3 linked regions of the Anolis sagrei genome follow. The protein of the gene in region 3 interacts with the protein of the main gene of each other region in a biochemical or structural test. Links are inferred from orthologs where the notes say so. Each region holds a gene or a part of one and is shown on either strand. Other genes may lie near its edges.

Region 1 (9,542 bases), on a different chromosome or scaffold from region 3:
GTCGTCAAAATCGAGCCTGAGGAAGGACAGCAGCAAGATGTGAGATCCCAGCTGCCACATTCCAACGTCAAACAATACCCTGGGAAAACTAGAAGGGAAATGAAGGCCTGGCACAGCGGAGGAACCCAAGGATCCTTTACTGTTGAAACCTGAATGGATACCTGAATGGTAAAGGGGGTTGGACTGGATGGCCTTTGGGGTTTCCTCCAACTCTATGGTTCTGTCATTCTAAAACTCACAGGACAATTGCTGGATCTTCCTCTTAAAATTGCCCCCTTCTCCAAATACCCAAGAGCCACCTTACCCTGTCCTCCGCTTGTTTGTTCTCTGGACGATGCCTCCTCCAGAATGTGCTCCTGCTCCTGATGTCCCAGACGGTGAACCCAAAGAGGAAACATCTGAGGCCATTTCTGGAATAACAACAACAATTATAACAATGATGACGTTGAAGCCTTTCATAGCTGAAATCATTGGGTTGCTATGAGTTATCTAGGCTGCCTGGCCATATTCCAGAAGCATTCTCTCCTGACATTTCGCCCACATCTATGGCAGGCATCTTCAGAAGTTGAGGGGTCTGTTGGAAACTTGGCAAGTGAGGTTTAGAGTATTAAAAAAGCTTAGAAATGGATTTGAGGGAAATATCCCTTCCTGGCTAAGAATACCACTTCTATGTATTTACGACATTTATATGCTGCCCTTCTCACCCCATTTCTCAGAGCGGCTTACAAGATATATATACATATTATAAGATAGATATATTATTTAGCATAGTACAATATCACTATTATATATTACTATATCGTATTATACCATTATATTGTAATATTATTAGTATTACTACATATAATATAAAATACATAATTATAATAGTAAAGGTAAAGGTTTTCCCCTGACATTAAGTCCGGTTGTGTCTGACTCTGGAGTGTTGTGCTCATCTCCATTTCTAAGTCGAAGAGCTGGCGTTGTCCGTAGACACTCCAAGGTCATGTGGCCGGCATGACTGCATAGCTGGCTTCAGGAAAGGCAAAAGCTGCACATTGCAAGTGCTGAACCTGACTCAGCACATAGAAGATGGCTTTGAAAGGCAGCAGATCACAGGAGCTGTCTTCATAGACCTGTCAGTGGCTTATGAGACTGTAACCACCGCCTCCTCCTGAGGAAAATGTATAATATCCCAAAGGACTACCACCTCACCTGCTTCATAGGAAACCTGCTACAAAACAGGAGCTTTTTTGTTGAGTTTCAGGGCCAGAGAAGCAGATGGCGGAAATAGAAGAACGGCCTGCCTCAGGGGAGCATGCTTGCTCCATGAATGTTCAATATCTACACAAATGACCAGCCACTGCCAGAAGGGATAGAGAGTTTCATCTATGCTGATGATCATGCCATTACTGCTCAAGCAGGGAGGTTTGAGATGGTTGAACAGAAGCTCCCCGAAGCTCTAGGTGCCCTTACTGTCTATTACAGGGGAAACCAGCTGATCCCTAATCCACCTGAAACACAGACATGTGCCTTTCACCTTAAGAACAGACAAGCATCCCAAGCTCTGAGGATGACCTGGGAAGGAATCCCACTGGAGCATTGCAGCGCACCCAAATACCTGGGAGTCACTCTGGACCGTTCTCTGACCTACAAGAAGCACTGCTTGAATATCAAGCAAAAAGTGAGTGCTAGAAACAATATCATACGAAAGCTGACTGGCACAACCTGGGGATCACAACCAGACACAGTGAAGACATCTGCCTTTGCGCTATGCTACTCTACTGCTGAGTACGCATGCCCAGTGTGGAACACATCTCGCCACCTAAAACAGTGGATGTGGCTCTTAATGAGACATGCCGCATTATCACGGGGTGCCTGCGCCCTACACCACTGGAGAAATTACACTGTTTAGCTGGTATTGCACCACCTGACATCCGCCGGGAAGTGGCAGCCAATAGTGAAAGGACCAAGGCAGGGACATCTCCAGCTCATCCCCTGTTTGGGTATCAGCCAGCACGTCAACGCCTTAAATCAAGAAATAGTTTTCTAAGATCTCCAGAGACACTCGCTGGAACACATCAGCAAGTGAGAGTCCAAAAGTGGCAGGCTCAAACCCAGAACCTCAATCCATGGCTGATACCAAATGAGAGACTCCCCCCTGGGCACACAGAGGACTGGGTGACTTGGAAAGCACTGAACAGACTGCGCTTTGGCACCACGAGATGCAGAGCCAACCTTAAGAAATGGGGCCACAAAGTGGAATCCTCGACATGCAAGTGCAGGGAGGAGCAAACCACCTGCTGCAATGCACCCCGAGACCTGCCACATGATGCACCAGGGAGGACCTTCTTGCAGCAACACCAGAGGCACTCCAAGTGGCCAGATACTGGTCAAAGGACATTTAACCAATTACCAAGTTTGCAAAATCTGTGTGTTTTTTCCCCTCTTTTTAATCTGTGTGTTTGTTTTGTTCTGTTAGAATTGTAATACAATGGTATGGTTGCTGATGACACGATAAATAAAATAATTCAATAAATACAATGGTCAGTCGTCCCACTAAATTCGATGTTCATCAACCTCCATCCATATCTCAGGGTGTTGGCTCACTCATCGAATGCCTGTCTCCATAACCACGTCTTCACCTGCTTCCTGAATGTCAGGATAGAAGGGGCGGTTCTGATCTCCGGTGGAAGAGAGTTCCAGAGTCGAGGGGCCACCACCGAGAAGGCACTGTCCCTTGTCTCCACCAGACATGCTTGCGAGGCCGGTGGGACCGAGAGCAGGGCCTCTCCAGACCATCTTAATAATCGTTGGCTCACTCGTCAAATGCCTGTCTCCATAACCATGCCTTCACCTGCTTCCTGAATGTCAGGATAGAAGGGGCGGTTCTGATCTACGGTGGGAGAGAGTTCCAGAGTCGAGGGGCCACCACCGAGAAGGCCCTGTCCCTCGTCCCCACCAGACACGCTTGCAAGGCCGGTGGGACCGAGAGCAGGGCCCCTCCAGACGATCTTAATAATCTTGATGGTTCATAGGGGAGAATACGTTCGGAAATATTATTGTAATATTACTGAACACAGGAAGACGGTAAAATTGAACAAAGGAAATGGTACAAGGATGATGAGAACGGATTCTGATTTGTTACTGAGGCGTTATGATATGATAATGATTGTTTGATTTTGTCTGCTGTATATGATGTGTTTTAATCGCTTAGGATATTGTTGTGATAACCTGTATTGTGTAAACCGCATTGAGTCGCCTAATTAGGCTGAAAAATGTGGTATAGAAATAAAGCAAATAATAATAATAATAATAATAATAATAATATTACTAGTATCATACCGTATTACATGAGACTATTATCAATGGCAATGCCTTTCATTTCCCCCTATTTTGCTCTCCCATAACACCAAGTCAAATCAATATAGAAATAACAATAATAACAAGAAATATCCCTTCTGCTTCCCTCCCTGAGTCCCTCCTCCTGTCACTCAAAGCTCCTCCCCAAAAGCCACCCTCCTCTTTCCCCCCAAATTCTCCCCATTTGACTCTCTTGACCTCCCTTTCCTTCCTTTTCTTTTGGACCCACTCCTCCCAGAATCCCCTGGGCCTGCCTCCATGTTGTCCTCTCCCAGCATGCCCCTAAACCCCCTTTTCCTTTTCCTTTCCCTATTTCCAAGACGCGGCCTTCCTTGGAGTGGCGCCACAACGCGAGGCCCACTAGGCCTCAACCCACCTTGGCTAGCAGTAGTGGTTGCCATGGCGACCCGAGGAGGAGGAGGAGGAGGCGCCCTCCCGCTCTGCCCCGCTGCTCCCTTCTCGCCTCCAAGATGGCGGGCGCTCCCACTGCGGGGCGAACCCCAGCAGGGGGCGGGGCGAGCAATTGAGTACTCTGATTGGTGCAACGAAACCAACTGGGCGTGGCCTCCCGTGCGCGCTTCCTATTCTGAGCTCTGACGCCGAAGGGGCGGGGACAGAGAGGCGAATAGCTCTCCCATTGGTGCAGCGGGAAAAGGGGGAGGGGCGTCCGGGAATGGATTTGTTTATTTATTTATATCCCGCTTTCTCTCTGCAAATCTAAAGCAATACAACTTAAAATACATAATACAACACTATTATCATTATATATTATTATCATATATGATGGATTATTACATAATAATATTATATATATAATTATAATATATATTATATTATTATCATATTATGGATTATTACATAATTTTATATATAATTATAATATTATATATTACATTATTATATCATTCTATATTATTATAATATATGATGGATTATTACATAATTATAATATTATATATTACATAACAATATATTATATATATGATTATAATATTAAATATTACCTTATTATATCATTCTATTTTATCATATATTATGGATTATTATTATATAATTATATATATATTATATTACATTATTATATCATTATATATTATCATATATTATGGATTATTGCATAATTATATTATATATATAATATATATCACATTATTATATTATTATATACTATTATTATATATTATGGATTATCACATAATTATATATTATATATATAATTATAATATTAAATATTACATCATTATATCATTATAATCATATATTATGGATTATCACATAATTATATATTATATATATAATTATAATATTATATATTTCATTATTATATCATTATATAGTATTATCATATATTATGGATTATTATTATATCATTATATATATTATATATTACATTATTATATCATTATATATTATTATCAATTATTATGAATTATTACATAATTATATATAATATATATTTAATTATAATATTATATATTTCATTATTACATCATTATATATTATTATCATATATTATGGATTATTATTATATCATTATATATATTATATATTACATTATTATATAATTATATATTATCATATATTATGGATTGTTACATAATTATATATATATATATATAATATTATATATTTCATTATTTTATCATTATATATTATTATCAATTATTATGAATAATTACATAATTATATTATGTATATATAATTATAATATTATATATTACATTATTATATCATTATATCATTATATATTATATATATAATTAATTATATATATATTATATTATTATATATTATATTATATATATATATATACTTATAATATTAGTATAAATAAATATTACTAATATATTATTATATATTATTTATTTATTTACAGGAAGGAAGGGAAGCTGGAAGGAAACAAGGAAGGAAGAAAGATGCACCAAGGGTTTGAATGGAGGGGCAGAATATCAAGAAGGTGCAATGCTTGATGCATCCTCTGGAGGGCGGCAAAGGATTGCACATAGGAGTCCTGGGCAAATGGTGCCCCTGAGATTTCAATGGAGGGTCAGAATACCCAGAGGGAGCAATGCTCAATGTGACCACCAGGGGGTGGCAAAGGGTGTACTACTACTACTACTACTTCCATCATCTGTGTGCCAAGTTTGGTCCAGATCCGCCAGCAATGGGAGTCACAGGGCTCGCTGGGTGCGGAGTGAACCATAACTCCCATCATCCAGCGTCAATGGAAATGGATGGATGGATAGATAGACTGATGGATGGATGGATGGATGGATGGGTACACTGATTGATAGATGGATGGATAGACTGATAGATTGATAGATGGGTGGATGGGTGGATGGATGGATGGATGGATGGATACATTGTTGGATGGATGGACGGATGGATGGATAGATATATTGATCGATGAATGGATGGATACATAGATGGATGAATAGATGGATAGATGGATAGAAAGATGGATGGATGGATAGACTGATATATTGATAGATGGGTGGATGGATAGATGGATGAGTGGATGGATAGATGGATGGATGTATAGATAGATGGATAGCTAGATGGATAAATGGATGGATGGATGGATAGATAGATAGATAGATGAATAGATGGATAGATTGATGGATAGATAGTTAGATAGATAGATGGATGAATAGATTGATGGATGGATGGATGGATGGATGGATGGATGGATGGATGGGTGGATGGATAGATGGATGGAAAGAACTTCATCGGTGTCGTTGATGGACGATGAAAAGCAGCAGCTCCCCTGGCGGCCAGAAAAAAAAAGAAGTTAAATAGCTTTTGTCTGTTAAATGTTGTTTGTCAAACTGGCATTGAATGTTTGCCATATATGTGTTTACTGTAATCCGTCCTGAGTCCCCTGCGGAGTGAGAAGGGCGGAATATAAGAACTGTAAATAAATAGATAGATAGATAGATAGATAGATAGATGGGTAGACTGCTATATTGATGGATGGATGTATAGATAGATAGATGGAGAGTTAGATGGATAGATAGAGGGATGGATGGATGAATAGATTGATAGATCAATGGATGGATGATAGATGGATAGACTGCTATATTGATAGATGGGTGGATGGATAGATGGATGGGTGGTTGGATGGATGGATGGATAGATAGATGGTTGGATGGATACATGGATAGAGAGAAGGGATGGATAAATAGATGGATAGGTGGATTGATGAATAGATAGATTAACAAATGGGAATATGATCTGGGCGACGACAGCTACGCAGTCCAACCTGGGAGGGATCCTTCCACTCTCCTTCCCTGTCCTGGGTGAAACCTGACGCACCCGCACCTTGTGAAGTATTCATGAGAATGCTTTCGGTGACAGAAGAGCAGAGCTGAACAACCGAATGGCAGAGACCCATTTTGGCACCGGGGCAAGAGCGAAACGCTGGCAGATCCTTTCCCGCAGACAAGGCAGGTAAGCGCCAAGCCTTGGCGACTGTGTTCCATTCACCTTGTCCGGGTGAACTATGTAACCTGGTGCCTCACCAAACTACCAATCCCATTATTCCATAGTATTGAGCCATGGAGGTTCAAGTGGGGTCAAGATGGATTCATTCCACAGGGTGTAGATGTGTTGTAAGGGGGTCTCATGGCGGGAGTTCGAGTTCAAATGAGTAATGTTTTCCGGAACCCGCCATTCCCACGTTTCTGCCCCTACAGATGAGGGGAAGACCCCTTCCTGGGTAAGAAGACCACCCTCAATTAGACCCATGGAGGACCCCACTGCCGAGACCTTTGTGGACGTGGACAAAGGCATCTGCGTCGGCTTCCTCTCCCTGATGTGCTTCTTCCTCCTCATCATGATGGTGCGCTGCGCAAAGCTGATTGTGGATCCGTATACGGCCATCCCGACCTCCACTTGGGAAGAGGAGCAATTCGACTGACATGTAAACTAGACCATTAGGTTACATGCATAAATATCTATCGGCCAATAGCTAATCCTTTCTAGCAGTGTAATAGCCACTTGTGGTTGCATCTGAGCACTGCATACATGCTTATCTATCGGCAAGTAGCAAATCCTTTCTATCTATGTGTTGCTCTCTTGTGGTTGCATCTGAGTACTGCATGCATACATATCTACCAGCCAGTAGCTAATCCTTTCTATCTATATACTGTCGTCTTGTGGTTGCATTTGAGCTCTGCATGCATACGTATCTATCGGCCAGTAGCTAATCCTTTCTATCTATATACCTCCTTCTTGTGGTTGCATCTGAGCATTGCATGTAAACATATCTATTGGCCAGTAGCTAATCCTTTCTAGCTATATACTGCCTTCTTTTGGTTGCATCTGAGTATTGCATGCATGCATGCATAAATATCTATAGGCCAGTAACTAATCCTTTCTATCTCTAGATTGCTGTCTTGTAGTTGCATTTGAACACTGCATTTGAACACTGCACTCATATCTATCGGCCAGTAGCTAATCCTTTCTATCTATATATCTCTTGTGGTGTCTATCGGACAGTAGCTAATCCTTTCTATCTATGTGCTGCTCTCTTGTGGTTGCATCTGATTACTGCATACATACATATCTATCAGCCAGTAGCTAATCCTTTCTATCTATATACTGTCGTCTTGTGGTTGCATTTGAGCTCTGCATGCATACGTATCTATTGGCCAGTAGCTAATCCTTTCTATCTATATACTGTCGTCTTGTGGTTGCATTTGAGCTCTGCATGCATACGTATCTATTGGCCAGTAGCTAATCCTTTCTATCTATATACTGTCGTCTTGTGGTTGCATTTGAGCTCTGCATGCATACGTATCTATTGGCCAGTAGCTAATCCTTTCTATCTATACACCTCCTTCTTGTGGTTGCATCTGAGCATTGCATGTAAACATATCTATCGGCCAGTAGCTAATCCTTTCTAGCTATATACTGCCTTCTTTTGGTTGCATCTGAGTACTGCATGCATAAATATCTATATATCTATGTAAACCGGGCTGAGTCCCTCAACGAGGTTGAGAAGCTCGGTATACAAAACTGTGAAATAATAATAATAAATAATAATAATAGTCCAGTAACTAATCCTTTCTATCTTTTTACTGCCATCTTGTGTTTGCATTTGAGCTCTGCATGCATGCATATCTATCGGCAAGTAGCTAATCCTTTCTATCTATATACGGTTTTCTTGTGGTTGCATCTGAGTATTTATTATATAATATATATATATATGTGTGTGTGTGTATTTTTTGTCGTGTCCAGAGCGACTTGAGGAACTGCAAGTCGCTTCTGGTGTATATTATATTATATATATATATACACATACACATATACATATACACACACACACACATATATATATTATAATACATATATATATAGTATATTATATAGTATATTATATATTCTATATAATATATAATTATATATATTATTATTATATAATATATTATATATATGGTGTATACTATATATTATAGTATATAGCATTATATTGTTTTATTTCATATTATATATATAATACATAGTATATAGTATTAAAGTGTATAATATAGTATATATTATTATAGTATTTATTGACAACTATATATTATTTAAGCCTAGGCACAGGGTTGCATTTTGCTCGGGAAAAAAAATCCATGCTTTCCTTTAATGCTTTGAAAGCAAAGCAAGAAAACAATTCAATTTTTGAGAATCAGTTTAAAAATGGATCTACTGGCCCTTTAAATGCAATGCGCATGCGTACTACGCGGCGTCCGAGTCGGAGAGAGAGAGCGCCTTGTTGCTTCCTTAGCCGAGCTGAATGCATGCCGCTATTTCCGCATGCGCACTAAAATGGATCTACTGGCCCTTTAAATAGAGAAGCCTCGAACAATGCGCATGCGTACTACGAGGCAGCGGAGTCGGAGAGAGAGCGCCCTGTTGCTTCCTTAGCCGAGCTGAATGCATGCCGCTATTTCCGCATGCGCACTAAAATGGATGTACTGGCCCTTTAAAGAGAGGGCTAGAACAATGCGCATGCGTACTACGAGGCAGCGGAGTCGGAGAGAGAGCGCCCTGTTGCTTCCTTAGCCGAGCTGAATGCATGTCGCTGCTTGCGCATGCGCACTAAGCAACTGATGAAAGCGAGAGCTCGAACAATGCGCATGCGTACTACGAGGCAGCCGAGTCGGAGAGAGAGCGCCCTGTTGCTTCCTTAGCCGAGCTGAATGCAAGCCTCT
Region 2 (10,708 bases), on a different chromosome or scaffold from region 3:
TTTTTTTACCAAGGACCACTCTCCAACATTAGTACCAAAGAGTTACGAATCAGATTTTTGTCAACTTGAGATTGAGTTTGGTTATTTGGGGTGCTGATTCAAAAGATTACATTGGATACACCATGCTTCTCCCTATGACTTCCTCTCACGTATTTATACATGGTGATCACGTCTCCTCTCCTAGGATGTATGTATTTTTTATCTGTATGTTTAATGCAGCATTTAGTATTATCAATTTGGAAGCCGCTCTGAATCCCCTCCAGGGTTGAGATAGCGCGGGGTAAAAATACAATAAATAAATTTTATTCAGCTGTGTAGAAGGGACCTGAGCTACGTTAGTCAAAGTGGAGTCAAGCTGCATTAACTCTATAACATAGATGTGTCCTAAGACAGGTGTTTGGTGAAAAAGGGAGGTTTCTCAATGGCTACTTCCAACTTATGGAATTCCCATCCCTCAGACTCTATTTACACTGCCATATAATGCAATTTGAAACATTTTATTTTTATTTATTTATTTATTTATTCATTTTGTATACCAACCTTCTCACCTCTCTTGAGGGACTCAGACCGGTTTCCAACCATAATATTACATACAGTCAATAAAACATCATAATTCATATTACAGTAAAACCTTAAAACAGCAATTACATTCAATAACTACAATGGTCAGTTGTCATACTAAAATCGTTGTTCATCATCCTCCATCCATATCTCAGCATATTGGCTCACTCGTCGAATGCCTGGATCCATAACCATGTCTTCACCTGTTTCCTAAATGTCAGGATAGAAGGGGCGGTTCTGATCTCCAGTGGGAGAGAGTTCCAGAGTCGAGGGACCACCACCGAGAAGGCCCTGTCCCTCGTCCCCACCAGACGCGCTTGCAAGGCCAGTGGGACCGAGAGCAGGGCCTCTTCTCCAGACGATCTTAATAATCTTGATAGTTCATAGGGGAGAATACGTTCGGAGAGGTAAACAGGGCCGGAGTCGTTTAGGGCTTTTAAACTGCATTATATGTTGTTCACTCGTTCAGTCGTCTCCGACTCTTCGTGACCTCATGGACCAGCCCACACCAGAGCTCCCTGTCGGCTGTCACCACCCCCAGCTCCTTCAAGGTCAGTCCAGTCACTTCAAGGATGCCATCCATCCATCTTGCCCTTGGCCGGCCCCTCTTCCTTTTGCCTTCCACTTTCGCCAACATAATTGTCTTCTCTAGGCTTTCCTGTCTCCTCATGATGTGGCCAAAGTACTTCAACTTTGTCTCTAGTATCCTTCCCTCCAGTGAGCAGCCGGGCTTTATTTCCTGGAGGGTGGACTGGTTGGATCTTCTCGCAATCCAAGGCACTCTCAGAACTTTCCTCCAGCACCACAGCTCAAAAGCATCTATCTTCCTTCGCTCAGCCTTCCCTAAGGTCCAGCTCTCACATCCGTAGGTTACTACAGGGAATACCATGGCTTTGACTAGGCGGATCTTTGTTGCCCATGTGATGTCTCTGCTCTTTACTATTTTATTGAGATTGGACATTGCTCTGCATTATATAGTGGTATCAATACATCTCCTCCCATCCTTCTCTTCTTCAGGCTAAACATGCCCAGCTCTTTAAGCCGCTCCTCATAGGGCAGTGGTTCTCAACCTTCCTAATGCCATGACCCCTTAATACACTTCCTCATGTTATGGTGACCCCAAACCATAAAATTAGTTTCATTGCTACTTCATAACTGTCATTTTCCTGATGTTATGAATAGTAACGTAAATATCTGATATGCAGGATGTATTTTCATACACTGGACCAAATTTGGTACAAATACCCAATATGCCCAAATTTGAATACTGATGGGATTGGGGGAAGGTATTGATTTTGTCCTGTGGGAGTTGTAGCTGGGATTTATAGTTCACCTACAATCAAAGAGCATTCTGAACTCCTCCAACAATGGAATTGAATCAAACTTGGCAAACAGAAGTGCCATGTCCAACAAAAAGTACTGGAAGGGTTTGGTGGGCATTGATCTTGAGTTTTGGGATTTGTAGTTCACCTACATCCACAGAGCACTGTGGACTCAAACAATGATGGATCTGGACCAAACTTGGCACGAATTCTCAATATGCCCAAATATGAACACTGGTGGAGTTTGGGGGAAATAGACCTTGACTTTTGGGAGTTGTAGTTGCTAGGATTTATAGTTCATTACAATCAAAGAACATTCTGAACTCCACCAACGATAGAATTGGCTCAAACTTCCCACATGGAATCCCCATGACCAACAGAAAATACTGTGTTTTCTGGTGGTCTTTGGTGACCCCTCTGACACCCCCTCCCGGGGTCCCAACCCCCAGGTTGAGAAACACTGTCATAGGGCTTTGATCATTTTAGTCACCCTCCTCTGGGCACATTCCAGCTTGTCAAGATCTCTCTTCAATTGTGGTGCCCAGGATTGGACACAATATTCCAATTGGAGGAGAAAAGCCTTCAAAGCTTCTGCCATAAACCTCTCCCAGCCCCAAATTGTATTTCCCCCCTTACAAAATAATCCATTTCTGTCACTGTTAAAAAGTGTTACCTCCTCCCTCAATTCCTCCACTGATTTCCTGGCCACAGGAAATAGTGGTATCAATACATCTCCTCTCATCCTTCTCTTCTTCAGGCTAAACATACCCAGCTCTTTAAGCCGCTCCTCATAGGGCTTTGATCATTTTAGTCACCCTCCTCTGGGCACATTCCAGCTTGTCAAGATCTCTCTTCAATTGTGGTGCCCAGAATTGGACACAATACTCCAATTGGAGGAGAAAAGCCTTCAAAGCTTCTGCCATAAACCTCTCCCAGCCCCAAATTGTATTCCCCCCTTACAAAATAATACATTTCTGTCACTGTCAAAAAGTGTTGCCTCCTCCCTCAATCCCTCCACTGATTTCCTGGCCACAGGAAATAGTGGTATCAATACATCTCCTCTCATCCTTCAGGCTAAACATGCTCAGCTCTTTAAGTCGCTCCTCATAGGGCTTTGATCATTTTAGTCACCCTCCTTTGGGCACATTCCAGCTTCAATTGTGGTGCCCAGAATTGGACACAATATTCCAATTGGAGGAAAAAAGCCTTCAAAGCTTCTGCCATAAACCTCTCCCAGCCCCAAATTGTATTCTCCCCCCCCCCCCTTACAAAATAATACATTTCTGTCACTGTCAAAAAGTGTTGCCTCCTCCCAATTCCCAATTCAGGCCAAAGGACCTGAATACTAAGAGTATCTGCGCCATCTGTCGGCCTGGGAGGGGTAAGGAACCCTTCTAGAAACTGCTAGAGACTTCCCGCCCCTAAAGGAACGAAGCCCCGCCCACCGCCTCCCGCCAGCCAATCCCTGCCCCGCACGGGCGCGAGGCTGCCAGAAAGGAGCCCTCCCCCTCCCCTTTGCATCCATGACTAGGGAGCCTAATGACATTATTGCAGGCCTGGGCCAACTTGGGCCCTGCGGGTGGTTTTGGACTTCAACTCCCACAATTCCTAACAGCCGGTAGGCTGTTATGAATTGTAGGAGTTGAAGTGCAACCTGTCATTCATTCATTCATGGATTAGAAGGAAAACTACAAAAGGGAAGGCCTTCTCCCTTTAATTGCTTTCCCCCCCCCCTTCCTATTCCTTCCCTCCGACATTTATCTCCAGCCAGTCTTCCTCCCTCTCCTCACCTTGGCGGCCTTAAAGATCTGCAGCTGCTGCCCGAGCGCTCTCCCAAGCGATGCTCCCTCTCCGGCGGTTGCTCACCGACTGCACTGCGCCCCCGCCTCTCGCGGGCCTTTTATGCCCTCGCGCCGCCTCTTTCCAGAACCATCGGGAACCTTCACTGACAGAGCAGGAGGGGAAAGGGGGCGGGGCTTCCCTCGCGCGGTGAGGGGGAAGAATGCGCATGCGCCTGATTGGAGGACTCTCCCTCACTCTCTCTCGCGAAACCCCACCTACCTCGAGTGCCTCATCCATCACGCATGCGCACTGCGCGAAAGCAAGAGAGACTTGCCTCCCCTCGGTATCTTAGGCTTGCACTGCGCTTGCGCAGATTCGCCTGGCAGGGAAAGCTATGCATAGCTCTCCTCTCTTTCTATTATGTATTTTATTATATGCTTTTATTTGTATTTATTTATATCCTGCTTTATCTCTCCATATCCAAAGCGGCTCACCATCAAAAACATTACAACTTCAAATATACAAACATAAAACAGTATATCATTGCATATTATCAGTTGTACCATATTTAATATGTTAAATCATATTACAATATTATATTACACTAGCTTCCAGGTGGAAGGCGGTCCCGGTCAGGGTTGGCTTGACGCGCCTACCTCTTGGCACGTTTCTCTCTTTCGCCCTCTTCAAATTCTGCAGCATTGCTGGTCACAGCTGACCTCCAGCTGGAGCGCTCACAGGCCAGAGCTTCCCAGTTCTCAGTGTCTATGCCAGAGTTTTTAAGGTTGGCTTTGAGCCCATCTTTAAATCTTTAAATCTCTTTTCCTGCCCACCAACATTCCATTTTCCATTCAATTGAGGATAATATTGTAATACAATATAATCCTAATAATAATACAATATAATAATTATATATTGTATGTAATATTGCTAATATTGCAGTTTAGTGGTTCAATATAGTAATATATAATGCTAATATTGTGCTATGCTAATAATATAATATATTTATGTACCTATAACTTGTAAGCTGCGCTGAGTCCACTTCAGGGTGAGAAGGGTGGCATATAAATGTCAGTCTACCAGTTTACCTGTCCGAATGTATTCTCCCCTATGAACCATCTAGGTTGTTAAGATCGTCTGGAGGGGCCTTGCTCTCGGTCCCACCGGCCTCTCAGGCGCGTCTGGTGGGGATGAGGGACAGGGCCTTCTCGGTGGTGGCCCCTCGACTCTGGAACTCTCTTCCACTGGAGATCAGAACTGCCCCCTCCATTCTGTCATTCAGAAAACGGGTGAAAACCTGGCTATGGGGTTTGGCTTTCAACGAGTGAATCAATATTTCTGTGATCGGATAGATGACGATGAATGATGGACAACGAATTCACTATGACGACTGACCATTGTTATTATGTGATTGCATCTTGCTGTTATAACGTTTCAATTGAATATGTTATATGATGTTTATAATGATTGTTTTGTGATTTTATTGTTGGAAACTGGCCCGAGTCGCCCGATAGAGGGGAGAAGACTGGTATACAAAATTGCTAAACAATAATAATAATAATAATAATAATAAATCAATAATTAAACGTAATATACACTTATTATATATTATTTTTTTGTACTATATTGTTGTTGTTTATTCGTTCAGTCGTCTCCGACTCTTTGTGACCTCATGGACCAGCCCACGTCAGAGCTCCCTGTCGGCCGTCACCACCCCCAGCTCCTTCAAGGTCACTATATTATACTATATTATAATATACTATATTATATTATAATATAGTACTATATTTTACTATATTATATATTATATATAATATATAATATATTATATTATTATATTATATAATATTATATTATAATATATTATTATATTATATTATATATATTATACATAATATTATATATTATATATATTATATATATTATATATTATATTATAATATAGTACTATATTATACTATAAGGTACTATATTATACTACAATATATATAATTCATTACCAGGATATTATAGTATTATTTAATATATTGTACTATATCATAAGATGTAGCATATAATATGTTACAACATTATTAATATTATATATAATATTATTCTCACCCAGTTTCTCATCCACGCATGCGCACAGACCTAGAACCCTCAGGCTACTTCTTCTCCTCCCCCCTCCCCGTCTTTTCGCCAGTAGAGACTGCGCCTGCGCAGCCTGCCTTCAACCTGGTTGGAAGGACTGTGAGGGTATTCTGCAGATTGAGAGAGATGACATCATCGCCGAGAGGAAGGGCGGAGCTTTGCCTTCACGTGGAAAGGAGGGAGCGGAGTCCGTTGGGCTGTTCCCGCCGCTGTGCCCGCCCCCTCCGAAGGGCTGTTCTGACAGTTGGGCTCCCCCCCTCGTCGCCCTGAGAATGTCCTAGAAAAGGCGGGAAAGCGGCTGCGCTCCTCTCCTTCCCCCCTCCCTCCCGGAAGAAGCGCCTAGAAAACCTGAGAGAAGAATCTCTCTCTCATTAAAAGAAGGAGACATCAAGGAATAGGAAGCCTCTGCCTAATGGCTGACATCTCACAGTAAAAACTGGAGAAGGCTCTTTTATAGAAGATTTCACTATGTGTCCCTGTCATGCAGTTCTGAGGGAGGAAATGTTCTTCAGTGTTTGAAACATTTCACATTTGAGACATGACACACTTTTTCTTAGCTTAGAACTGTCCAATGGGAAAATACAGCCAATGTATTGGGCCCTCCAGGTGTTTTGGACTTTTTTTTGTTGTGTCAGGAGCGACTTGAGAAACTGCAACTCACTTCTGGTGTGAGAGAATTGGCCATCTGCAAGGATGTTGCCCAGGGGACGCTTTGATGTTTAATCATCCTTGTGGGAGGCTTCTCTCATGTCCCCGCATGAGGAGCTGGAGCTGACAGAAGGAGCTCATCCATGCTCTCCCTGGATTTGAACCTGCGACCTGTCCTGCCTGCACAGGGGTTTAAACCCACTGCGCCACCAGGGGCTTTTGGACTTCAACTCCCACAATTCCTAACAACTAACAATTTGCCATCCGTTGGGGACCCCTCCCCCCAGCACCAACTGCCGCTCTGGGCCAGAGCGAAGAGAGGGGAGGCCAGGGGACAGCACCATCTTGTCTCCTGCATTTGCCATCCGTTGGGGACCCCTCCCCCCAGCACGAACTGCCGCTCTGGGCCAGAGCGAAGAGAGGGGAGGCCAGGGGACAGCACCATCTTGTCTCCTGCATTTGCCATCCGTTGGGGACCCCTCCCCGCAGCACCAACTGCCGCTCTGGGCCAGAGCGAAGAGAGGGGAGGCCAGGGGACAGCACCATCTTGTCTCCTGCATTTGCCATCCGTTGGGGACCCATCCCCGCAGCACCAACTGCCACTCTGGGCCAGAGCGAAGAGAGGGGAGGCCAGGGGACAGCACCATCTTGTCTCCTGCATTTGCCATCCGTTGGGGACCCCTCCCCGCAGCACCAACTGCCGCTCTGGGCCAGAGCGAAGAGAGGGGAGGCCAGGGGACAGCACCATCTTGTCTCCTGCATTTGCCATCCGTTGGGGACCCCTCCCCGCAGCACCAACTGCCGCTCTGGGCCAGAGCGAAGAACGAGGGGCCAGGGGACAGTTCCATCTTGTCTCCTGTGCTATTCTAATAATATGTTATAATATAATATATTGTATATACATATAATATTTATAATATTGTAATGTAATGCAATATAATACTAGTAATTGCTTTTAAATGCATAATGATTTTGTATTCTGTATATCTAAACTGTTGTAAACCGCTCTGAGTCGCCTAAGGGCTGAGAAGAGTGGTATACAAATAAAGTAAATAAATAAATAAACTGGAGTAAACTGGATTTCCATATCTTCCAGACAGTACCTTTATCCCAGGAGCTTCTGCAGCAAACAAGAGGGTGGCCAGACGCCGTACCTTTTAAACCAAAAGGTCATGAGTTCGAAGCCAGCCCAGGTCAGAGTGAGTGTCCGACCAATTGTGTAGCTTGTTGTCGACCTTTGCAACCCGAAAGACAGTTGCATCTGTCAAGTAGGAAAATTAGGTACCACCTATGTGTGGGGAGGCTAATTTAACTAATTTATGAGGGCATAAAAAAGACTCCAGCAAAAAGCACTCCAGCAAAGCATGCGGGGAATGAAGAAGTACTTCATCAGTGTCGTAGATGGATGATGAAAGCGACAGCTCCCCTGGCGGCCAGAAAAAGTTAAATAGCCTCTGTGTATGTCTATATATGTTGTATGTCTAATTGGCATTGAATTTTTGCCATATATGTGTACATTGTAATCCGCCCTGAGTCCCCTGCAGGGTGAGAAGGGCAGAATATAAATGCTGTAAATAAATAAATAAACGTGGGAGCAATCACTACAAAAGGCCATCGTCAAGGGAAGCCCCACGTAGAGTGCATTGCAGTAATCCAATCTAGAGGTAACGAAGGTGTGGACCGCCATGGTCAAGTCAGACCTCACAAGGTGTGGTTGCAGCTGGCGCACAAGTTTAATTGTGCAAAGGCCCTCCCAGGCATCGCCGACACCTGCGCATGAAGCATCAGCGCTGAATCCAGGAGGACCCCTAAGCTGCGGACCTGTGACTTCAGGGGGAGTGCAACCCCGTCAAGGACACCTAACAAAGACATAGTTTTCTTAGATCTACAGAGACACTCGCTGGAACACCCCAGCAAGCGAGAGTCCAAAAGTGGCAGGGCCAAACCCAGCACTTCAATCCATGAGTGATACCAGATGAGAGACTCCCTCCTGGGCACACAGAAGACTGGGCGACTTGGAAGGCGCTGAACAGACTGTGCTCTGGCACCACGAGATGCAGAGCCAATCTTAAGAAATGGGGCTACAAAGTGGAATCCACGGCATGCGAGTGCAGAGAAGAACAAACCACTGACCACCTGCTGCAATGCACCCTGAGCCCTGCCACATGCACAATGGAGGACCTTCTTGCGGCAACACCAGAGGCACTCCAAGTGGCCAGATACTGGTCAAAGGACATTTAACCAACTACCAAGTTTGCAAAATCTGTGGATTTTCTTTTTTTTTTGGTTTTTTTTAATCTGTGTGTTTGTTTTGTTCTTTAAGAAATGTAATACAATGGTATGGTTGCTGATGACACGATAAATAAATAAATACCTAACAAAGTGAATTTAAAGTAAAACACTTGTACTTCTTTGTAACCTGCTGTTCTACCCTGCCTGTGTATAATGTTTTGTTACATATCGGCAACCATGGGAACTGATTACTTATCAAAGCTTCCCAATGCATGGATTCATAGTAGCATTTGTTTGCAGGGAAACAACACTTGTGTCTGTATGGATCCAACTGGTTTGCCATGATATCATATATGCCTTTTTTTGAATGCCTCATATATCTAAAGAAGTCCACAGAGAGATACACATCTGAAATGGAGTTGAAAAGAAAAACAGTTTCCTTGGGACTGCTTTACTATTCGCTCGGACTCAGCACTTTAAAGCTGTCAGAAATAAGGAAGGTGTGTGGAGCCGGGATGTCTGAAACATTTGAGGGAATCATGCATTTACATAATACATTAAGGTCTTTTTTTGGCAGCACTGATGAGTCTCATTAGTTGAATGAATGTGATGTCTTTGGCTAGAAGCTGATTCGACACAAAGGGCTGTGCCAACCGTGGCAATTCTAGAGCAAACAGAAGAAAGGTTACAACATTTGGGCCTGCTTAGCTTGCGGGGAAAGGCTATTAAAGGAAACATGAGAGAGAGAGAGCGGTTTAAAAATCAACCATAGTATGGAGACAGGGGATAAGGTCCAGGATTTGCAAATACCATAGCAGCCAGCATTTCACAGATGAAAACTGGGACACGCATGACAAAACAAAATCAAGGTAGGATCCAGATGATTCAAACAAAAGAAGAAAGTCAGAGGAGGAGATAGAAATTGGGACAGCTGAAAAAGTGACAGGATTAAGTAGAATCATAGCATTGGAAGAGACCCCCCCCCCCCAATGGCCTACCATCCAACCCTCATAATCAAAAGACCTTTAGGAAACAGAAAGAAAATTTTCTAGCATTCTTTGTCACTTAATGTCTAGATTTGTTGACTGGCAGAATTCAAAGGAATAAATATAAAACATGGGTCTAACTTGCTTTGGCCACATCATGAGAAGAAAGGAAAGCTTAGAGAAAACAATTATGCTAGGGAAAATTGAAAGAAAAAGGAAGAGGGGTCGACCAAGGGCAAGATGGATGGATGGCATCCTTGAAGTGACTGGATTGACCTTGAAGGAGCTGGGGGTGGTGATGGCCGACAGGGAGCTCTGGCACAGGCTGGTCCATGAGGTCACAAAGAGTCGAAAATGACTGAATGAATGAACAACAAACAACAACTTGCTTTTAGACTATTAATTCTTATGGTTCTGTCAACAACAAACCAGCCATGGCAACAATGCTCAAACTCATTCCAAGAAACTGATCCAAAAATGGTCTCCAGCACTCAGCTCCATTACAAAAGATAGTAAAGTTTGGAAAGACTGAAAGCAGTTAGAAAAGGAACACTGCATTACAGATGGAGAGACATTCAACTTTGCAAGATACCGCTATCAACAGGGATCTATCTACACAGCAGAATTAATGCAGCATGACACCACTTTAACTGCCATGGCTCAATGTTATGGATTTGTGGGAGTTGCAGTTTCAGTGAGGAACAACTAAAAACCTTATACAATTACCACTAACAGGATTCCATAACAATGGATCATGGCTATAAAAGTGTTGTCCAACTGCATTAGTGTAGATGCAGCCACGGTGACTTGGAGGTCTCCCAGTCATAAGGCTATAAGTCAAGTTGTTGTGATCACAATTAACCACTGCATTAAATGGCCAATGTAGATGGGACTAACATCTCTGTTTTAATTCTCCAGTCTCCACTTGTGGTTTGGCAAGAAGTAGAATGGAGGCAGACAAAATACCACAAAATGCTCTCCAAAAAAAGTAACAACAGAATTCAAAACGATCTTGACAGATTAGAGAGATGGGCCAAAACTAACAAA
Region 3 (10,151 bases):
CATTCAGGCTGAAAACAGAGGCTCTTTTGACGCTCCCCGTGGATTATTGACAAAGAGCCAGGAAGTCACTAGAAGCGGCTCTACGGCAGCAAGGGAAGGGAGGGTTGACACAGATTGCACAAAGGGCCACCTCGGGCCACCAAAACCCTTTATACAGGTAGACGTCTTCATTCCAGCAGACACTGCTGGAAAACAGACAGAGAGAGATAGAGAGATGCACGTATATTATGTCAGACGTCAGGGATGCTCCCACCAGCAAACTGAAGAGAGGCCTTTGAGCCAGGAAAATAAACAACAATCACAAGACAAAAACTTAAATGGGGAAAGAGAATACATATTTGTCTTTTTTACAGTGTGTGTGTATATATCTTAGGCATGGTCAAACTTGGGCCCTCCAGGTGTTTTGGGCTTCAACTCCCACAAGCCTACCTATTGGACAATCTTATAGTAAGTGACCATTTTCTTTATAGGGTTGATGAATGTGTCATGGACAAATGGGTCTGTGAAAGTTCTTTCCATTCCTATCCCAAACAACACTGCATTTCAGCTGTCCACCTCTGGTCTTGCTGGGTGTTCATGAAGACTGCATCACCCTCTTGCAGTCCTTATTCTATGGGTGCATGTATTGATAACACATTTTTTCCACAGTATTTTTCTTTCTCAAATAATGCATCTCAGGCCAGTTTCTCTTTCTGGGCATGACTGTGTGAAAATAGTTTCCCAAGGTTCTCTGTCATATGAAGTACTTCATAAAAACAAGGCAAGCAATTCCAGTAGATGCAAAACAACAGGGGTTCCAAGTCAAGCATCCCCAAAAAACCTGGAGGGCCCAAGTTTGCCCATGCCTGATATATCTTTTAAAAAAAGAGCTACTGAAATTCTGAAAGTGATCAGCAATTCCAATAAAAACACAAGGTTGTAAGCAATGGGGCAATAGGATGAAGGGGGAGAGATCAGGAAAGAGGGGAGTAAGGAAGGTATAGCAGGGAGAGGAAGATGGGAGAGGAGGGCAGAAAGGAGAAATGGGGTTGAGAGGATGAGAGGAAGGAGCCCAGAGGAGACAGGAGTAAGAAGGATGGGGAGAGGAATGGGAGAAAAGAATTGGGATGGGAAGAAAAGGGAAAAGAGTTCAGAGAGGGGAACAGGAAAAGCAGAGGAAAGAGAAGTACAGGGGAGAAGGAAGGGAGGGGAAAGTTGAGATAGGTAAAGAGGAGGAAAGCAGGGCAGCCTGGGGCAAATTGCGCCCTCTCAGAGGCGGGGGAGGAAAGGCCTCCCACAGAAGCAATGGGAGGGATCCCAGTCTCAAGAGCAAGCCTGGAGGGCTCAAGTTTACTCATGCCTGAGATTTCTGGTTTTGTTTTTGTTTTTAAAGAGCTACTGAAATTCTGATGGTGATGCCTTATATCTGTACACTGTACAATCCACTCTGAGATAAAGCGGAATATAAATAAAGTGTATTATTATTATCTTGGCATTGCCATGAAAACACAAGGTTGTCAGAAAAGGGGCAATGGGATGAAGGGGTGGGGAAAGAGGAAAGTAAAGGAGCTAAGACAGGGAGAGGAGGTCAGAAGGGGGAAAGGAGTATACTGTAATCTGCTCTGAGACAAAGCAGAATATAAATAAAGTTTATTATTATCATCTTGGCATAGCCATGAAAACACAAGGTTGTAAGGAGAGGGGCAATGGGATGAAAGGGGAAAGGTGGGGGGAGAGAGGAGTAAAGGAGCTAAGACAGGGAGGGGAGAGGAGGGCAGAAAGGGGGAAGGTGTACACTGTAATCCTCTCTGAGATAAAGCGGAATATAAATAAGGTGTATTATTATTGTTATTATTATTATTATTATTATTATTATTATTATCTTGGCATTGCCATGAAAACACAAGGTTGTAAGGAGAGGGGCAATGGGATGAAAGGGGAAAGGTGGGGGGAGAGAGGAGTAAAGGAGCTAAGACAGGGAGGGGAGAGGAGGGCAGAAAGGGGGAAGGTGTACACTGTAATCCTCTCTGAGATAAAGCGGAATATAAATAAGGTGTATTATTATTATTATTATTATTATTATCTTGGCATTGCCATGAAAACACAAGGTTGTAAGGAGAGGGGCAATGGGATGAAAGGGGAAAGGTGGGGGGAGAGAGGAGTAAAGGAGCTAAGACAGGGAGGGGAGAGGAGGGCAGAAAGGGGGAAGGTGTACACTGTAATCCGCTCTGAGATAAAGCGGAATATAAATAAGGTGTATTATTATTATTATTATCTTGGCATTGCCATGAAAACACAAGGTTATAAGGAGAGGGGCAATGGGATGAAGGGGGAAAGGTGGGGAAAGAGGGAAGTAAAGGAGCTAAAATAGGGAGGGGAGATGAGGGTAGAAAGGGGAAAGGTGTAGATTGTAATCCGCTCTGAGATAAAGCGGAATATAAAGTGTATTATTGTTATCTTGGCATTGGCATGAAAACACAAGGTTGTCAGGAGAGGGGCAATAGGAGGAAGAGGAAGAGGGGAGTAAAGGAGCTAAAGCAGGGAAGAGATGAGGGGAGAGGAGGGCAGTTATCTGAGTCCACACTGCCATATTATTCCAGTTCAAAGCAGAAAACGTGGGATTTTATTCAGCTGTGTGGAAGGGGCCTCAGAAACAGGTCTAATAAGGGAGGCACCAAAATGTGTGTTGACCAGTAGATCAAATCCAGAAAAAGTCAAAACTGGAAACATAGAGAAGAGAGGAGACAGAAGTGAGAAGGACTGGAAGAGAGGGGAAAGAATTGGGATGTGGAAAAATGAGCTGAGAGAGGGCTAAGGCAGGGAGGGAAAGAGGGCAGAAAGGGGGGTGAGGGGGAAGAGAGGCGGGGGGGGGGCAGAAGAGACAGGAGTCGGAAGAATGGGGAGAGGAAGAGGAAGTGGAAGAAATAATTGGGATGGGAAGAAGGGGGAAAGAGCTGAGAGGGGAATAAGAAGAGAAGGGGGAACAGGGAAAAGAGGGGAAAGTAGGGGAAGAAGGAAGGAAAGGAGGGAGGGGGAAAGTTGGGATGGGTCATGAGGAGAGAGGGAGACAGCGGGGCGGCCTAGGGCGGGGGAGGAAAGGCCTCCCGCAGAAGCGATGGGAGAGCCTCAGTCTCAAGGGCGAGCCCCCTTTCCTTCCCTCCCCTCCCCTCCCTCAGCCCCGGCTTACATTTTCTGCACGGGTTTCCGCCGCTTGCGGCTGGCGTAGGTGACATTGGGGTTCATCCTCCTGCTGCTCCCGCTGCGGCTCCAGCGCCTCCGGCCGCAAGAGGTTGTTATTGTGTGTGTCTCTCTCTATATATAAATGTATATGCTTCAAAACACACACACACAGCCACAGCAAAAGCACGCCCTCCCTTTGAGGTCTCCCACCAGCGAGGAAGGCAGGAAGGCAGGGGGGTCTCTTCAGAGGCCTCCTCTGCCTCAAGGAAGACAGCACGGGTCTCCTCGGAGAAGCAGGTCGCGGCCGGGCCTCCTCCGCCTCGCCGCCAATCCTCCTCGCGAGTCCCTTCCTCGGCGGAGAGGGGAGGAGAGGGAAGGGAAGGGAGGAGGGGAGCCAGGTGCTTGGCGCCGGCAACACCCACTCGTCGCCGCTGCCGTCCTCCTCGCTCCGTTTTCGGGGCGGAGAGACAGGTGCGGAGGCGGCCGCTCCGTCCCCCCTCCTCCTCCTCCTCCTCCTCCTCTTCCAAGAGACTGAGGCGCCTCAGCGAGACTGAGGGAGAGAGAGAGAGAGTCTCCCTTCCCTTCCCTGCCTTTCCCTTCAGCGCAGCCGCCGTCCTCCGTGACGTCCTCACACTCGCCTCCCTCCGTTTCTGCGCTCTTTCTGCCTTGGTTTCAGCGTCGGGAGATGAACCTTGGCTCTCCCGAGAGGCCCGGCCCACCGCCCACCGAGCAGGAGAAACAGGAGGAGGAAGAGGAGAAGGAGGAGGAGGCCCCGGTGGGAGGGGGGCGCTGGGCGGCGTCAAGGGGGCGGCGCGGCGCCATGTTGGGAAGGTCAGGCCGGGGAAGCAGAGCGAGGAGAGCGCAGAGAGGGAGAGAGAGGGGAGGGGCCTTGCTCTGCCCTAGGCCTGGGCAAACTTGGGCTCTCCCTCCAGGTGTTGTTGACTTCAACTCACACCGTGCCTAACAGCCTCAGGCCCTGTGCCTGTGTTAGGAATTGTGGAAGTCCAAAGCACCTGGAGGGAGCGCCCAGTTTGCCCAGGCCTGTGTCCGTGTTAGGAATTGTGGGAGGACAAAACACCTGGAAGGAGGGCCCAGGTTTGTCCAGGCCTGTGCTTAGAATTGTGGAAGTCTAAAGCACCTGGAAGTAGGGCCCAAATTTGCCCTGGTCTGTGCCTGTGTTAGGAATTGTGGGAGTTGAAGTCCAAAACACCCGGAGGGAGGGCCCAAGTTTGCACAGGCCTGTGCCTGTTTTAGGAATTGTGAGAATTGAAGTCCAAAGCACCTGGAGGGAGGGCCCAAGTTTGCCCAGGCCTGTGCTTGTGTTAGGAATTGTGGGAGTTGAAGTCCAAAGCACCAGGAGGGAGGGCCCAAGTTTGTCCAGGCCTGTGTATGTGTTAGGAATTGTGGAAGTCCAAAACACCTGGAAGAAGGGTCCAAGTTTGCCCAGGCCTGTGCTTGTGTTAGGAATTGTGGGAGTTGAAGTCCAAAGCACCAGGAGGGAGGGCCCAAGTTTGTCCAGGCCTGTGTATGTGTTAGGAATGGTAGAAGTCCAAAACACCTGGAAGGAGGGTCCAAGTTTGCCCAGGCCTGTGTTAGGAATTGTGGAAGCCCAAAACACCTAGAGGGAGGGCCCAAGTTTGCGCAGGCCTGTGCCTGTGTTAAGAATTGTGGGAGTTGAAGTCCCAAAACAACTAGAGGGAGGGCCCAAGTTTGCGCAGACCTGTGCCTGTGTTAAGAATTGTGGGAGTTGAAGTCCAAAGCACCTGGAGGGAGTGCCTAAGTTTGCCCAGGCCTGTGTATGTGTTAGGAATTGTGGAAGTCCAAAACTCCTGGAGGGAGGGCCCAAGTTTGCCCAGGCCTGTGCCTGTGTAAGGAACTGTGAGAGTTGAATCAGCCCTAGCAAACAACAATGTATACTGTACACCTTGAAGGAAATGTGTACACCCTGAATACCTTACAATTCTGGTATTATTTTTTTTGCAGGGTTCCCCCCCCCCCCCAAAAAAAAGATAGTATGTGCCCTGAACAGGAATTAAAGATTTTAACAGTGAAGAAGTGTCACAAAATTACATGAGGAACAAGTAAGGTTGTTAACTGTGCTTCGATAAAACAAGCAGTGTATATCTGGGTAGGGGTGACAATCTGCACATAAAATGGTAATTTAAGATGGAATTAATAACTCTGAGAAAACCCTTATAATAACATTTTTTTACTTAGACTTACATACTTACTTGTATTACCAACTCAACATTTTTATTATGGTCCAAAGACCTTTATTACACTTACTTATATTAGGGTTCGAATGAGCTGTTAAAGGGCAAATGCATTGGGGGTGGGGCACACTATTGTGGGCATTCAAGACATTTTCTGGGAACTATAAAGTGACCCTTTCATTAAGTTTTCTTAGCAACTTTTATTCAGAAGAGGTTTGCATTCCTCAGAGTTCCTCTGAGGCTGAGAAAGTGTGACTTGCCCACTCCTATAATTCCATAGCATTGAGCCATGGCAGTTAAAGTGATGTGAAACTACATTAATTGTACAGTGTAAATGCACCCTTGGAGGCCCTGCCTATATATTTAACTGTGTATTCCTGTTCAGGACTAAGACCCACTGAGTTCAACAGGGTTTATGTTCAGCTAAGTCTGTATAGGACTTTAGCCTTACTCTTGAATTGCTGAATGTAAGTGGGCCTCCAGCCTCAATAGTACAATTTTACTGTCTTAAAATTAAAATTATTTGGCCCACTCAATGTGTTCTGGGATTTGTTCAGACAAGCCTTTAAAAAGAAAAGTGGTCTGTTGCAACATTTTATTTTATGTTTCTAGAAGATCTTTTTCTTCCTACTTAGAATGCACTGAAACAATAGAAAAATATCCATGTCATAAAATGGAAACAGAATTCACATAAAAACAAATTAAGGGCATCAATTTGGTATTAGAAACCAGTTTTTATGTCTCTCGTGCCTGATAATAGTGATGATCCTCTAGCTCCAGAACTGCTCAGTCATTTCCTTACTTCATCTCACATGAATGTATACAGGGATTGTTTGTTAGATAAACACTTTTAGTACGAGTGTCATTAATTCTGAAGGATAGCCTTTTCCCACAGCTTCACAACCTTTCCAACATGACAACACAGGCCCAGTAAAAATGACAAACCTTGTGGTGCCTTAAAAGCTCCAGTACATTTATTGTGGTATGACCTTTGCCTGCATGTAACCAAAGATACATTCCTCAGAATGAAAATAAGGAAGAGTAAACTGGAGCTTACAACTGGAAAATAGAGGGAGAAAATGTGGAGGCCGTGACAGACTTTGTATTTCTAGGTGCAAAGATTACTGCAGATGCAGACTGTGGCCAGGAAATCAGAAGACGCTTACTTCTTGGGAGGAGAACAATGTCCAGTCTCGATAAAATAGTAAAGAGTAGAGACATCAGACTGGCAACAAAGATCCGCCTAGTCAAAGCCATGGTATTCCCTGTAGTAACCTACGGATGTGAGAGCTGGACCTTAGGGAAGGCTGAGCGAAGGAAGATCGATGCTTTTGAGCTGTGGTGTTGGAGGAAAGTTCTGAGAGTGCCTTGGACTGCGAGAAGATCCAACCAGTCCATCCTCCAGGAAATAAAGCCCGACTGCTCATTGGAGGGAAGGATACTAGAGACAAAGTTGAAGTAGTTTGGCCACATCATGAGGAGACAGCAAAGCCTAGAGAAGACAATTATGCTGGGGAAAGTGGAAGGTAAAAGGAAGAGGGGCCGACCAAGGGCAAGATGGATGGATGGCATCCTTGAAGTGACTGGACTTGAAGGAGCTGGGGGTGGTGACGGCCGACAGGGAGCTCTGGCGTGGGCTGGTCCATGAGGTCACAAAGAGTCGGAAACGACTGAACGAATGAACAACAACAACAAACTGGAGCTTAAAAAAACCATGATCGCTTTCTAGCACAAATAGGTATATGGTATATATATTACAAGATACTTCAGCCTTCTAGTGACAGCACCATGCATTTCAAAAAAATACACAAATGAATTAAAAGGCTTTGCAACACATTGTTGGCAGCTGAGAAATCAATTTTCTTTGCCCCCTTCATTAATTTAAATTGCACTTATGTTTTAGAGCTGTTTCCTTTAGTTCCAAGGAGAGGAAAACATGAGCTAATCTACGCATGATGGTGTAATGGATTGTTTGGTGGCAGGACCAATATGAAATAAGTTCAATGTTTATAAGACACTTTCATAAAATGAGTATCGTGGAATTACAGAGGTGGAAGAGACCACAAGGACCATCCAGTCCAACCCCCTGCCACTCAGGAGCACAGAATAAAAGCATCCCTGACATGGCCATCCAGCCTCTGTTTAAAAACCTCCAAAGAAAAGAGACTGCCACACTTCAATGCAGTATATTCAACTGTTCAAGAGCTTTTACCACCAGGAAGTTCTTCCTATTATTTTCTTCTAGTTTGAATTCATTGCGCTGTGTTCTATTTGTTCGGAGCAGCAGAGGACAAGCCTGCTTCATCTTCAACACAACACCTTTTCAAATATTTAAACATGACTATCACATCCCCTCGTGACCTGTTCTCAATGCTAAGCATACCCAGCTCCTTATAGGAGTTGACTTCCATAATAAAATAATTGGCATCATAGTCATTGTTTTCAAAGAGTACACGTATCTAAATTTTTCAGAATTCTTTGAATTTAGAAAGATGGCTATACAGGTCTCATACATTGGCAGACTTATCAGAAAGGAACAAAATGTCATGTTGGCATCTTGGCTCCCTGTTTAACAGGTAGCCTACAGTCCGTATGCAGAATCAACCAGTTTGAGAGCTTGGGATGTGAGCTCAATCACTTACTTGAGCTCAGCAAAACACCAATTTTTACCCAAGACAAACTGATGATGCCCATTGCCCAAGTAAGCGCAGGCAAAATACAGATAAAAGGTACGGTAAAAATAAAACTTCATCAAAATAACAACTCAAATCATTTGAGGAAAAAAAAGCCAAATATTTCTTTCTCCCACCCATACAGAACAGTCCCCGTTTTATTATCTTTTTCCTGCCAGCTACGCACACTTCCAAACCACTGGTCAATTCTGTTTTCTAGAATTGCATTTGGGGCCTAGAGGTATTATTGGAAGCAAATATGGCCTCAGAGGCTAATGCTTTAGTGTAGTAGTCCGGCCTCCCAGATTTATTTTTCACTGGAAAAAAATCAGAATGGACAGAATCCAGTTGATGCCAAGGAAAGTAGGAGCTTGTAAGTACCTTCAGATATCATTGTTCGAGACTACCGAGTCAGAACTGTGATGCTGTGGACTAGTAATTATTAATCAGAGTCATATTTACATAAAGTATTTTTCTTGGTGATTATGCAGGCATTTCCTGACAAGAAGATAGAAAGGACCTTATGTCTAGTTCTTTATAATATGTATGGAAAGGAGTTTGAACCCAAAAGACTGAATAAATATTTCTGATTCCTTGAACACAATAAAGAGCAATTTAAATACTTTTGACCTTATATAGATAAGATCTTCATTGCTGTCCTTTGATGCTGAGGGAATGTGACTTGCCCAAGGTCAAATAGTGGGCCTCCATGGCTAAACAAAGATTTGAATCCTGGTCTCCCAAATACCAACATTCAAAAAGATACTCATTATATGTATCTCTCAGTCACCATTTTAAAATTATTACGCCATTTTCTTTGCAGGGTGGGTGTGAATGCCAAGAAGCCAGGCTATGACACATTGCTCAGCATCAGGTATGCCATTGACTTAACTCCTAGAAATCCACATGTGGGTATAGACATTTGCACTATCATTATTTCCTGATAATCACACGATTGATGTTAATAAGTGAGGCGAATAATCTTAGTTCAACCTCGCCAAGAATAAATTCCACAGAATTTAATAGGACTTACTTTGGAGGAATCATACTTAAGCACATGATGAAATCTAAGGGTTCAATCACAATTCGGCCGAACCTTCTTTTGTCAAAAAAAGTTTGAATCCCCACCCCCTTTTGATGAATATATTTTGATACACTGTTTCGTAAAAAAAAACAACCCTAAAACGACTTTAATACTGCCCTAGCTCTGTTCTTACAAATCGGAATCTGGATTCCATCACTTTCAGCATCCTGAACAGCTTCTGTGAAGAGACAAAGCTGGACAGTCTTTCAGATAGTTCATCTCCTGTTCATCTATGTTTTGACAATAATGATAAAGATCTCAAAACGGTCATCTTATTGAAGAGGCTGGGCAGCACAGAAATATGTGAGCAACTTGCCTTATATAGTAATTTGAGAGCTGTGACTAGAACCAGTTGAATACCCCAGCTCACACTGGTCATTTTGAAGTGGAGTGTGGTGAAACAATTTAGCTGATCACATCATGTAAACATGCAAAAACAGGAGTTTCTGCATCTTTCCATTAAGCACTAGTAAACTTAGCTAAATTTAGTAAAGCTAGCTAAATTCTGGATTCACATCTCTGTAATGATTGACAGTGTAGATAAAGATTTTCAGGTTATTTTTTTTTACATATAAAATTAATCTTTTTTTCTGTTAGTGGTACTGAAATTAGTGAGCATTGTACGTACAATTGACGGTGTCTTAGAATCAAAGAATTATGGTAATAACAGGTGCATGAAACTCTAAAAGAAGCCGAATCTGGACCCAGAAAGGGTCAATGACTAGTAGCTAGTGTCCTGTTTCTGGCCAAGATGCTTGAATCAATTGACTGCCAAAAACTCCAGACATTCTTCAATGAAATTGATTGTCTAGATCTCTTTCAGAATTCAAATCTAGTTTTGAAACAGAAACTACCTTAGCTAACCCATGAGATCTTATTGAAAGACAAATAAAGTACTGTCCTATTGATTCTCTTGGACATTTTAGTTTTATCAGCCATGGAAATCTTCTAGATGGTTGATGTCTGGGCTTGATGCCATGGCTACTGTGATACGGTGTTTCCACTCCTACTTAAATTGCCAAT

Evidence for each region. The genes of interacting proteins can lie anywhere in the genome.
Region 1: the proteins of AHR (region 3) and ARNT form a complex in vitro, tested with the Homo sapiens proteins (14 studies listed by BioGRID, with this or other methods). The link is inferred for Anolis sagrei from reciprocal best matches to the Homo sapiens genes AHR and ARNT.
Region 2: the proteins of AHR (region 3) and HSP90AA1 form a complex in vitro, tested with the Homo sapiens proteins (2 studies listed by BioGRID). The link is inferred for Anolis sagrei from reciprocal best matches to the Homo sapiens genes AHR and HSP90AA1.

The regions. Positions count from the first base shown.
Region 1 is NC_090032.1:5,035,711-5,045,252, forward strand, and holds the start of ARNT (aryl hydrocarbon receptor nuclear translocator), read right to left. Parts: upstream 3,838-9,542; 5' UTR 3,744-3,837; coding exon 3,719-3,743; intron 411-3,718; coding exon 305-410; intron 17-304; coding exon 1-16. UniProt on the Homo sapiens protein: Required for activity of the AHR. Upon ligand binding, AHR translocates into the nucleus, where it heterodimerizes with ARNT and induces transcription by binding to xenobiotic response elements (XRE).
Region 2 is NC_090021.1:323,768,741-323,779,448, forward strand, and holds the start of HSP90AA1 (heat shock protein HSP 90-alpha), read right to left. Parts: upstream 3,838-10,708; 5' UTR 3,674-3,837; intron 1-3,673. UniProt on the Homo sapiens protein: Molecular chaperone that promotes the maturation, structural maintenance and proper regulation of specific target proteins involved for instance in cell cycle control and signal transduction.
Region 3 is NC_090026.1:95,812,432-95,822,582, forward strand, and holds the start of AHR (aryl hydrocarbon receptor), read right to left. Parts: upstream 3,904-10,151; 5' UTR 3,223-3,903; coding exon 3,167-3,222; intron 1-3,166. UniProt on the Homo sapiens protein: Ligand-activated transcription factor that enables cells to adapt to changing conditions by sensing compounds from the environment, diet, microbiome and cellular metabolism, and which plays important roles in development, immunity and cancer.